Linked DNA regions of Rattus norvegicus. The protein of the gene in region 3 interacts with the protein of the main gene of each other region in a biochemical or structural test. Links are inferred from orthologs where the notes say so. Each region holds a gene or a part of one and is shown on either strand. Other genes may lie near its edges.

Evidence for each region.
Region 1: the proteins of Hspg2 (region 3) and Kdr form a complex in vitro, tested with the Homo sapiens proteins (2 studies listed by IntAct). The link is inferred for Rattus norvegicus from reciprocal best matches to the Homo sapiens genes HSPG2 and KDR.
Region 2: the proteins of Hspg2 (region 3) and Fbln2 form a complex in vitro, tested with the Homo sapiens proteins (2 studies listed by BioGRID). The link is inferred for Rattus norvegicus from reciprocal best matches to the Homo sapiens genes HSPG2 and FBLN2.

Annotation. Positions count from the first base shown.
Region 1 is NC_086032.1:32,570,578-32,574,905, reverse strand, and holds the start of Kdr (vascular endothelial growth factor receptor 2 precursor), read right to left. Parts: upstream 2,844-4,328; 5' UTR 2,591-2,843; coding exon 2,524-2,590; intron 1-2,523. UniProt on the Homo sapiens protein: Tyrosine-protein kinase that acts as a cell-surface receptor for VEGFA, VEGFC and VEGFD. Plays an essential role in the regulation of angiogenesis, vascular development, vascular permeability, and embryonic hematopoiesis.
Region 2 is NC_086022.1:125,260,365-125,264,501, reverse strand, and holds the start of Fbln2 (fibulin-2 precursor), read right to left. Parts: upstream 2,844-4,137; 5' UTR 2,766-2,843; intron 1-2,765. UniProt on the Homo sapiens protein: Its binding to fibronectin and some other ligands is calcium dependent. May act as an adapter that mediates the interaction between FBN1 and ELN.
Region 3 is NC_086023.1:155,005,836-155,009,395, reverse strand, and holds part of Hspg2 (basement membrane-specific heparan sulfate proteoglycan core protein precursor), read right to left. Parts: intron 3,368-3,560; coding exon 3,204-3,367; intron 2,887-3,203; coding exon 2,707-2,886; intron 2,597-2,706; coding exon 2,400-2,596; intron 2,293-2,399; coding exon 2,145-2,292; intron 1,407-2,144; coding exon 1,279-1,406; intron 989-1,278; coding exon 902-988; intron 822-901; coding exon 763-821; intron 465-762; coding exon 397-464; intron 1-396. UniProt on the Homo sapiens protein: Integral component of basement membranes. Component of the glomerular basement membrane (GBM), responsible for the fixed negative electrostatic membrane charge, and which provides a barrier which is both size- and charge-selective.

The DNA of each region.
Region 1 (4,328 bases), on a different chromosome or scaffold from region 3:
CCTCAGCTGGCATTGACAGTGTTGGGCAAATGAGTGAGCGGGAACAAATATGAGGCCACTAATGCAGTATGAGCAAACAGCCAAGGCAAACACCCGGTGCCGTGACACTGTGGCCCTCTGAGAACAAGCAGAGCAGGCCGTTCACTGACTGTAGCGGTTCTCGCACACCTGCACAGATGTGCATAACGGTCTACAGCAATTCCACCCTGAATACACCCAACCTAACCGGATGTACATATGCTGCTGATATAACCGTGGATTTATTCATTAATTAACATTTTTCAAACGCTGGAAATTAAATGGCATTTAATGAATCTCAGAAGTTAGTTGGCATTGTTAATAACTCGTGTGTGGACTGTGAGTCTGAACCTCATGGTGTGTTTATTCCTAGACCAACAAATAGGGGTTTTTAAATGGCATCGAAAGTGACTGTATCACAGGTGCTCTTGGTCCCCCCCACCCCGAGACGGCTACAGAACTGAGCAATTATATTCAATTAACCGGCATAATATTTGTCCATATCAAAGAAGTTACTGTCCCTAACATAGGCATGCAATTAAAATGTTCATAGACAAGCCTTTGAATGATGGAATCTTACTTTGTTTGAGAAGTGGGAGATAAAAACAATTTGTTTGATAAGTAGATTTTAAACATGACTGAGCAGCATTAACCTGAAGACAATCACTGGCTACACTCATGGGGTGAACCCATTATTCAGGCAGATGGGTGAGGAAAATGTGGTAGTAAGCTGCGCCCACTCTACCACCACAGTAAGTGACCTTTATTCTTCAGTGGGGAAGCGAATGCAGAGCCTGAGCGCTCTACCGCTGATCAACACGCTACAGCCACTCAGAGCCGCGCTACTGTCTCTGTCATAACACACAGCCATAGATGCTCTTAGAGGGCAGGCGCATTAGCTCTGCTCATCTGTAAAAGATGCCCCATTCCCGAGACACCAAATACAGCACCATAGTATCCAAGGGATGTGTCTGCAATCAAATCTAGTCAACGAGGTTATCGATAACTGGAGATTTACATCAATGGCTAATGATCCCTCTCCCCCTTATTAAACCTCATTCATTTTCAATGGCAAGTTTGGGTTCTGTTCTTTAGAAAGCTCCTTCTTACTGTAAGAGGTACATATGCTGCTACTCAATAAAAGCCCTTTTATGTTCAAATCCGATAACCAACATTAATTAATTTGTGCACTGTTATCCTTCCCACTCAAAGACCAGAAGGAAAAACAACAGCGGCTCTGTCTCTAGACTCCGATGGCACCAATTATGGTCCAATCCAATTAAGAAAGTCACACACTCCAAAAGGGCAACCTCCGTTTAATTCAGGGAACCAACCAACGGGCTACTGTTAAACTGCTACACTAGGAACACTCCAGGCTTCACAGCAACTCACTTCGCTATGGGACCCAGGGCAAGCACGTGTTCTAGGCTGCCTTTCTCGTCCCAGAAAGCGGGAGAGTGAGGCCTTGTCAGGAACAAATGGGCACCCATGATGGAGTTAGCCTGGTGAACCAAGTCATTATGAGGAAGATTCAATAACTGTAGACAGATGATCCTGGCGCTGTACGTCAGCGCCAGTGCTTTTAAGGCATGCGATTTTCTTCGGATATAAGGAATGTTTCTGCAGAATTGACTTTTTTTTTTTTCTGACTCTCCATTCTCCAATGGATGGAGTCTGGGAAATCTGCAAACTGTGGCTACAAAAAGAAAATGAGAGAGAAATAGAGGAGGAAGAGGATGAGGAGGAGAAGAGGGGAAGGAAAGGAGGGAAGAGAAGGGAAGGGGTTGCACAAAAGCCCAAGAGCGAGTGAGAGCCTAACCTTGAAACACAGGGCATCTTTAAACAGTAAAAATGGCCTATATCTAGGTGCCAAACTAAAGAGTTTCTGAAACTTTCAGAAACTCAGAGTTTACCCCAGGACCAAACACTTTGGAGTAGTAAGTGGAGAGTTACTTTAAGATACCTGGAAAAGCTACCATAGAAGAAGCCGCTTCCTCCTGCCAGCAAAGTGGCATTCTGCACCAAAGAAAGTTGGGTAGGAAAGTGTTGCTCTGTGAAGAGCGCACATAGTGAGCTTACCCGCTGGAGCTAAAGCAGAGCGGAGCGGGAGGCTGGTTCCCTGCTCCACTCAGGGCAGCAAGCAACAGCCTGCGTGCTCGATGCCAGTCAGGCCGCCCGGCTTGCACTGGCTTCCCGGCATTTGACTGCCTGTTCCTGCCAGTGGGAGCATCTCCTGCCCCGGCGCAGGGCGCCTTCCCACTCCCGCCTACCCAGCGCCAGGGGTTGTGGGCTCCGCAGGACACGCTCCAGCCAGAGCCCGGGGGAGATTAGAATCCTGGCTGAGTCATTTCGGAAGAGTCTTTGAACCTCAGTTTCCCGGTTGGTAAGTGAAAGAACACCAAAGGACGGGTCTCTAGAGCTCTCCGAGTTAGGTCCTCTTCTCTGTTATCCCCACTCTCCGCCCGCACCCTGCTCCACCTTACTTCTAAAGAGTGGGCTCCTTACCCACAGAGGCGGCTCGGGTCTCCACGCAGAACCACAGAGCGACAGCTAGCAGCGCCCTGCTCTCCATCCTGCACCTCGCGCTGGGCACAGATGCTTTCTCGGTCCCTGGCCGGCAAAGAAGTCACAGAAGCGGTACGCGCTCCTGCAGTGCAAAACCTGGGAAAGCGCAGGGCACCGGCGCCCTGGCTCCAGCCGCAGCTGCAGCAGTGTCGGCGGACACGGGTCAGCCAGGTTATCCCGGCTGCAGGACACAATCTGGGCTTTCAGTCGTGCGGAGTAGCGTTCCGGGCGATCTAAGGAGACACAGCCTACTCTCTTGGGGTCCTGAGGACTCAGTGCAGAGAGCCAGCGCTGGCTAAACACTAGAGAATGGGGGCGGGGTCATTACCGGGAGGGGTGGGGACTCCCTGCGTCCGGCCACGCCCCTCGCTGGATACCAGGTTTGGGTTTCCCGGTTTCCCACGCCCACTCCCCCACTACCCCGGAACTGTGCCGGGCTGCAAGTCCCATCCGAGAGCAAATCTGGACGCAGCTCGGATTCTGGTGGAAGTAAAATGTAGCCAATAAGGGGCTCTGAGACACTTGCTGCCCCCCAGCAACCCGGGAAGCATCACCAGAAACGCAAGACCGGCTGCGCCCTCATTAGGTGCCTCCAAGTGCAGAACTCTCTTCCCTGCTGCAGCTGAGAGCCCCAAGGGACCAAACCTCCGCTTGCAGGTTGGAGCATGAAGATAGGAACCCTGGACCTAGATGTATCTGGGGCACCAACTTTCAGTGAGTTGGTCAGTACTTGGAAGTTTTGTTTAATGGTGCTCTGGCCAGTGCAGCCATAGTTTTAACTCCCCCGCCCCCCGCCCCTGCCCCCCGCCCCCTTTGAACGCTTTAATTAAAAGATAGGCTCTTATCCAGGTTGCCAATGCCCCTACTGTTTTCTCGTCCATCTGGCAACTTTAGATCTTTTGAAGTTACCTGCCTAGCCCTAGAAGACATTTCGGTTGTGAACTCCTGCCTGGCTTTGTCCAGATAACTGCAGCAGGAGATCCAGGTTGCTGAGGGTGATCAGGGCTCCAGGGCAGCTGCACAGAGAAGAGCGCCTATCCTCCTCCAGTGGCTGCTAGAGTGCTTTCGTCTACCCAGCTCCATGGCCATGGTTCCCTACAGAAACTTTGGCCAGGTTCCTTTCCAAAGCTGACCTTTCAGCCAAGATAGGCTTGGGGGGAGAGAAGGGAGCATTTTCAGGGGTGTCAACTGTGGGAGCAGAAGCGAAAGCGGTCCCTGCGTGAACAGTTTTTTTCAACTGTGTGGCTTTCTTTCCATTCCTTCCACGCCTAGGAAATGACAATAAATACCTTGTAACAACTTTTACTCCTGGCATTTATAATGATAGTTTAAAGGACAGTCTTTCAGCCGGACAAAGGGATAAGATTATTGTCTTTACATCCAACCGAAACTACACCGATGTGCGCCATTAATGAAACACGATGCTTTTCTTTTTTAAAGAAGGGAGATAAACAGTGATTCTCCTTCATCACGAACCTGCCTGAGCCTGAAGTGTGGTGCCAGACGCAGCTGTCGAGCCCAGGAGGCTTTTCAAAATCCAGGTTCACTATAAAAATGTTTCAACACATTTACACATATACACCTATAAGGTGAAATTAAGCTTGAAAAAATATGGGAATGTTTTGTGTGGGCATTTTCCTTTTAGTGGGGACATGCACAGTCTATGCACGTTTCGGTGTGTATACTGGGCTCCTCTTCTCAGGAATGAAAACTCCATTTAAAAGTTGTTTGGCGTCTTCTTTCCC
Region 2 (4,137 bases), on a different chromosome or scaffold from region 3:
TTAGAAAATCAGCTGCATAGCAACATGGACAGCATCTGCTTCACCCACCCCCAGCTCCCATGAGTTCTGCATCTGTACCTGGCCAGGACAAAATGCTAGACAGTCATCCCCATCTCTGCCTCCTCACTGCAAGGTCGTGAGCACTGGTAAATGCTAGAAATCTCTACAAAAGAAAAGACTGAGGTCCAAGGAATGGGGTTGGGGCAGAGCAGGGCCCCGCCTCTAGACTACCTCCCTACCAGGAAATATCCAAGGAGCAGCCAGTGAATGGCTGGCCCTCTCCTCCTGTCCCCTGAGCCATGGACAGGCAGCCACATGTCACAGGGGTGCTTAGCATACCTACAATCAGCCACATGCGGAAGATGAGCATGGGAGACCACAGAAATTTCAGCTTAGAATAACACAGTGACCACCATGCCCTAAGCCACCCATCTAGCAGTTGCCTGCAGGAACATGAGCTTAGCTCGTGTGGTATCCTGAGTTCCTCTCTGTGTGGTGTCCTGTTTGCCAAAGCCAGCTAGGGAAATAAGAAAAAATCATTCACAGCCTAGCTTGTAAGGCACAAGGCCAGCAGATGTCCAAGAGGTCACACCTGAGTGGTGCCATGGGTTTACTTTGTGATCTCCACTTGACCACAGGAGTCATAGAAAGGGAGCTGTCATTCTCATCAGACATCAAAGGGCCATGTGGACCAAGCTATGTGTAATCTTATTCCTGAACCCTGGGCTCTGCTCCGTCATGATCTCAAGGAGCAATCTCCATGCCTTAGTCATGGTAGGAGCATTTATTGAGAACCTACTATGTGTCCGCTATGGACAAGACTCAGGAAACGTCACTGACATCCAGGTCTCCATTTCTCAGGATTCAGTGCTGGAAGGGCAGAGAGCATTGTTCTGGGGTGTGAACATGGTCCTTTGCTTGCTGAATTCTTTCTGAGACTCCCTTCTCCATGTCAGTCAGGATATAGCTTCACAGAGTGGCTCTCAGAATAACAAGATGAAAAATGCCATGTGAGGCCTGTCTCAGGTCCAGCAGGCGCTCTCACCTTCCTCCTACGGGGACACCAGGCTATCACCCCCACAGACCAGCACAAAATGTCTGCCCTATCACTAGGACCCTGGTAAGCCTGAGTCTTCGACACTCCCACCTTTGTAGTGACCAAAGTCCTCAACGGTAGGAGGCTTACTTAAGGCATGGCAGAAGTTAGCCTGGGCTCACCCTTGAGAGAGCAATGGATTTAAAGGGTCACAACCAGAACAGATTTCCAAAGGCCAGACAGGAGCCCAGAAGGAAGGCCTGGTAGAGACTTTAACCAAAGGTGCCCCTGGCCCACCCCTAAGGGAGGCAGGCCAGCAGCGCTGGTTGAAGCACACCACAAAGGCATATGAATCCTGAGCTGCCGGAGCTTGAGTTTTTCAAGAAAAGACGGAAATCCGGACTTTTCTGTGAAAGCTGCCAGTTAGTAAATGCTGGCAGCTAATTAAATTTTTAAAAACAATAATAGCATACTGAGAGCCAAGCAAAACACGCAGAGCTAGTCACAGCCAGGGCTGGCGGGACTGTGCCTCCAGTCAGATGCTTTCTACATACTAGATGGAGGGGTGGGCGGGAAGACAAGGGGGTACCACCCTTGGCAACATCTCTCATTCTGCCTTTCCTCGTGGGGGCCCTGCACGCACACACACACACACACACACACACACACACACACACACACACACACACACACATGCTTGGCACCTCCAGAAGGTGAGGTGCAGAGCCCCAGTCATTCCATCACAAATATGCATCAGCTCCATTCAGTGCCAAGCCCAGGAAGCTCACCCGGCCTCCCCTGGGGAGGTCTGGGTTCAGCACCCTCTGAGCAACAAGCCCCTCCAGCACAAATTCCTTTTTGTCTTTCTGACCTGTCATGCAACACCTGCTGGTTCAAACCAACGTCTGACTGGCCCAAGTGCCCATCACCGCAAAGCAGATGGGCAAGATCTCAGGACAGCTGAGGAAGAAGGGATGGCCCCTTGCCTAGGAGGCTGGGGTGAGGGAAGGGAGAAACAAGAGGTGGTGAGGAGCCAAGCCCACCCCTGAAGACTGAGCCCCTCCTGGGCCCCCCAGGCCACTGCGAGAGTGAGCCAAGACTAACATCAGCAGCCACTTTTTTCTCCCTAGGCTGAGGCACCCACTCCTCAGCAGGAGAACCACAGATGCTAGGGACCGTGACACTGTCTGTGCACCTGAATGTGGGGCCCTCTGTGTCTTCAGGTATTGTCCAACACAGGCCTCCTGTGTGGGAGATGCGTGTGAAATAGTGGATGAAGATAAGCGAGGCGTTGAACCAGCCGGCGTTGGTCCAAACTTTCTATGGATGTTGAACGCACGCGTGCTTAACACGGACACATTTGCATGCCTGAAGGATGCCTAATACAGGCAAGTATGTGTAAAAGCACGCACGTGCGGAGGGACATGGGAGAGGTGAGCGTGCATGAGAGATTCTGGACTGGGAGTTGGGGTGGCCTGTGCCTCTGCAGAGCTTGCAGTAACTTCTGCTAGCATGAGTGCATGTGTGGCAGTTTGCGACTGCGGGTGGGGTGGTGCCAGATTGAGAGGCCCAGTCTTCCCTGCTTGAGGGGCGGGGGCGGGGGTGACCCTGGGAGACCCTGAAGGACAAGACTGGGATATGGAAGGCCAGAGAGATGTAGCCAGCGATCAAGAGAAAATGACCGACTTAGAGGGAGCGCGGCGTGGAAACCCAGAGGCTCCATACTCACTCTGTACTCCGTGCTCTGTGTTGAGCTGCGCCGCGGTCAGTCTGTCCTTGCACCCGCCGTCGGTGAATCCAGAGCCCTGGTGGCGCGCGGCGCCGGGTGGAGAAGAGCGGGACAAGCCAGGCCTTGAGACCCCGCCCCACGGGTCCCGCCTTGGGGCGGGGCCTTGGATTGCTAAGACTTCACCCAACCCAAGGCTCAACCCGCCCTGGAGCCTGAGCTCTCCTGTCCTGGTCTCTGAGCCCCCTTTCCACTCCCCCTCTCTAGGCTCTGGCTATACTGAGACTCAGATGTGCCGCCTTTTAGCTTCTCCTCCTAGACCCAGTATCCTGTGATGGCCAGAGGTGCCCAGGCTCAAAGCTGCACAGGGACAGATATACAGAAACTAGGCATAGGCACACTTCCATCTCAGTTCTCCGCAATCTAGATCACCCTGTCTTTTTTTTTTTTTTTCAGCTTAGTTCTGTTGCCTGTACCATGGTGTAGCTTAGCCAATACCCTTGACCTCTGTGGGGAGGGAACTGTGGAGAACCCTGTCATTCACAGCACTGTACCCAAGAGGCAGGAAAAACTCTGTAAGATATAAACTCGAAACATATCATTACTGGGCCCTTGGCTCCCTGCCTGCCAAACGAGGCAGGTATCCTAGTGTCTGGTCACCACTGTCTACTCTCAGCAGGCCCAGGGCCTGTGCATGGTAGAAAGCTGACAATGAGCCTCACTGTCTGACATCCAAGAGTACAAACTACCTCCCATACCTGCCAGAGATGGATGCCCCTACAGCCACTTCCCGTCATCCTAGGAGCAGCTGTGGCCCAAGAGTAAGACCCTGCGGCTCAGAGAACAGGTATGGGGCAGCCAAGAGTAAACAAAAGCACAGAGAAGGGAGGCTATCTGCCCAGGGTTACATAGCTGAAACCAGAAATAGCCAGGGAATCATAGAGGAACCAGGATGGAGACCAGGGATGAATGGAAAAGTCTGACACAGCCTGCCTCCGTGGGCCCTTTCCACAAACCCATCTTTCAGGGCCTTTGTGTGTGCTGCTAACCTCTACCTAAACACCTCTCCCCCATGAGCTTAGGGCTGGCTCATCCTTGCTTTGAGATACAGCTAAAATATCCCCTCTCTGAAACCACAACGCAGAGCCCCTCTATCCTGACACTTGGCTGCGTTCTCTCCCTGGCGACCTTCTTGAGATGGGTTTATAAATGGTCGTTTGTAGCATTACTTCGTAGCAAAGGCTTCTGTCCCCTGTAGTTGTGTGTCCTTGGGCAAGTCACTTCCCTCTGAGTTTTGACTTACTTCCTCAGCTGCAAACTAAACAACAGGCCATCAAAGCCTACATCAGGGGTTGAGCAGAAATCCCAAAGCCCC
Region 3 (3,560 bases):
TGATAGGACGCACAGGGTCACCCCGCATGCTTATCTCCTGAGCTATAAGATCGAGACTACCTGACTGCAAAACCTGCCCAGTTTTCTCCACTGACATCTGATTCTCCTGCTATTGAAGACACGTCAACATGAGACCTGACAGAGTGGTGCAGGTAAGGGCCAAAACATATACAGCAGTTGCTGCAAGCATGCTGGGAAATTGAACTCAGGGCGACTGACTCCTTAGTCAGTGTTCCTGCCCATGGCCAGGACTTCCTCACGATATAGCCAGGCCTATGGTCTCAGGCAAGGCCAGTGCCCACTCGCCAAGGTATCTGAGAGGCTAGGATCTCTTCCCTGCCCTGACCACAGTAAGGCTGGGCCCAAGGTCTTGGAGGGAGTAGGCAGTACACATACCTTACAGCGGCAGGCTTCTCCTGTGGCACTCAGGCTCCCTCGCTCATCGCAGCGCACGAGTTCCTGGTCTGGAGGCAAGAGGAAAGCATTGGCAGGTTGAGTGGGAATGGGTGGCTCTCCAGGGATTCTGGGAAGTCAGGGAGGAGCCCAGCCCAGCAGGCTACATCAGAACGTGGTCACTGGGGGCTGGAGAGATGGTTCAGCGGTCAGAGGTCCTGAGTTTAATTCCCAGCACCCGCATGGCTCACAGCCATCTGTAATGGGATCTGATGCCATCTTCTGGTGTGTCTGAAGACACGACACTATACTCATATACATAAAATAAATAAATAATTAAAAAAAAAAGAACATGGTTATAATACTCACTGGAGGGTCTGCACTTCCCGCCTGGTTGAATGGGGTTGCCTTCATATCCAGGGGCACAGCTGGGAGAGACGACATTGTCACACCCCAGCCAGGGCATCCTGTCTCCTCCTACCCTTAACTCCTGTCAGCTCCCTTTTACCTCTCACAGCGGCGGCCTGTGTAGCCTGGGGCACAAGCGTCACAAGTGGCTTGGCCATCTGTGTCCAGGAAGCAAGTGTCTGAGAACCTGTGGGGATCAAGTGGTCAAGGTAGAAGAGTAGAACTCAGGGCTGGGCTTGGCATGCTTGCCCCAGGAAGACACACAGAAAGGAATGATGCTATCTCTGGCCACTGTGACCTCATAGCTACTGTGGGCATGGGTCCATTATACAGAAAGGAAAAATGAGGCCCACAAAAGATCAAAGAGCACAGACAACTCAGTGAGCAGGCTAGGACTGGAATCCATGTGGGTACCCAGTTTCCCCAACAGAGAATGTCCCTACTTGCCCCATGCCTATATCCTGAGAGGGCTCTGACCTTTGGGAAGCGTCGATGTATGGACAGGGGCAGGGCCGGCAGGCAGTGGCTGTGGCCTTGGTGGCATCTCCAAAGAAGCCAGGCTTACACTTGTCACACTGAGGTCCTTCTGTGTTGTGCTGGCAATTCTAGAACAGGAGAGGGTAGATAGTGAACCGGGGCCTGCTGAGTAGAACTGGGCCAGACAGACTCTAGAAGTTTCCACAGCTTTGCAAATAGGAGTATCCAGGTGGCTTCCTTGGCAGTAGTAGCCCAGCATGGTGGCCAGTCTCACAGATGGCTCCAAGCACCTTGTGATACGGATCCAAACCTGACACCCTCTTCCAGGCTGCACCCAGGACCGGTTCTATCCTAGAGTCCATTCTGTCTACCTTATAGCTACCTAGGGATCTGAAGACAGTGGCACTACCATGCCTCTCTTTGATCAGCTCCACAATCCTAGCCCTCATCACTCTTCCCACGAGATAAGGTGTAACGCCTAAACCATGCTACCCTTAGCCCTCACTAAGGGAGACAGACCCTCATCTCCCATCTGGACACTGTATCTCTCCATTTTTTTTCTTTTGTTTCAAATGGTTTATTTATGCACATTGGTGTTCTGACTGCATGGATGTCTGTGTGACGGGGTCGGGTCTCCTGGAACTGGAATTATAGACAGTTGCAGACTGCCATGGGGTTGCTTGGGAATTGAACCCAGATCCCTTAGAGGAATAGTCAGTGCTCTTAACCTCCGAGCCTCCTTTCCACCTCTTGTTAATGCATCCAAAGGTCATGGTAGCCATCCAAGCCATTCTAGAAATGATGCAATGTTCGTGGATGCAGCCCCACTCCCATCCAGTGTCCAAGTGGTATCTTGTGCTACTCACCAGACAGTGGCCATAGACAGGGTCACAGGAGCTGGCGTGGCCATTACAATTACAGCCAGAGCAAGTGCCCAGGTAGGGCCCGCCAGGCACGCGGGTGAAGTGGGCATCGCAGCTCTCGCAAGACAATCCAGAATAGCCAATGGGACATCTGTGGGGATAGGACCAAGAGAATGGCTGCAGGAACCACAGACCCTGCTAATTCACCTCTACCCGAGAGAGAGTCCCGTGGTTCACAGTCCCTCTGAGGGTAGGCACCTGCACTCCTCCACACTGTGAGCCCGGCCATGGATGGTGGTATAGGTGACGGTGGTGTCCATGACAATGTCACTCAGCCCCACACTGGTCATCTTGGTGTTATATACTGTCTGCAGCAGGACAGCCTCCAGGCTCGCCAGGGCCTGCAGCATCTCAGCCCGTTGGACAGGCCGGCCAGACTCATGTACCCAGTGTTCCTGGAGAGGACAAGGTTGTTCTGACTATCAGTGCCTGCAAGCAACGTATTATTCTCACCCTGGGCAACCCCTCCCCCTACACCCATCCCCAAGATTCAGGTGCCACCCACCTCTGAGAGCTGGACCTGGCGCTGGTTCAAAGCTCCAGGATGGGTAGGTGTGTGGCCTCGAGAGTGGAGGCGGTACCCGGCACCCACGAGGATCACGTCTGGTTTCTGCACCGGCTCCAGCATGCCTCGTGCCAGCTCATAGCGCACCTTGTAGCGCAGGAAGCCACCATAGGAGTCCACCTGGCCGGGACAGGACAGATCAGGGCAGGGCAGCCATCCTTAGGCAGTTGCATCCTGTTCTTTAGTTCCTCACCTTGCCCACCCACCGGAGGCTCATAGAGAAGGGGGCATGGGGAGATGTCATGGCTGAAAACATGTAATGCTGTACCCAGGGAGGCCAGTGTGCGGCACTCTAGCCAGCCCACAGAACGGTACTCAGGGAAGAACCCAAAGAGGATTGGAAGAGCAGCGGGCTCAGTGCAGCTTCAGGATGAAGGAGAGTTGGGGGGGGGGGCTACTTTAGGATGAGCAGGACTGAGCAGGACCCGCCCTCCTACCTTGTTGCCTAGAAACTGCTTGGGTAGGGCCCAGAAAGCGTCATGGACCAGGAAGCGGCGGGACAGGTCAACCAGCTGGAACTCCTGCAGGGTGGGGTCGATCTGCAGCTGGGTGGAGGAGAGAGGTGGCACCCCAGGCTGCGAGGGCATCGTCACATTCACACCTGCAAGGACAAAAGCAAGGTGAGGATGGCAGCCCATGCTTAGCAGAGAACAGCCAGTCTGAGAGCTGGGACCCAGGAAGGAATGAGTGGGAGAAAACAGAGGCCTCCCTCCTGAAGTCAGGCAGTAGCCAAGCAGAGCTGGGCACGGCACATACCGGTAATCCCAGCACTCCTGGACAACCATGAGTTTAAA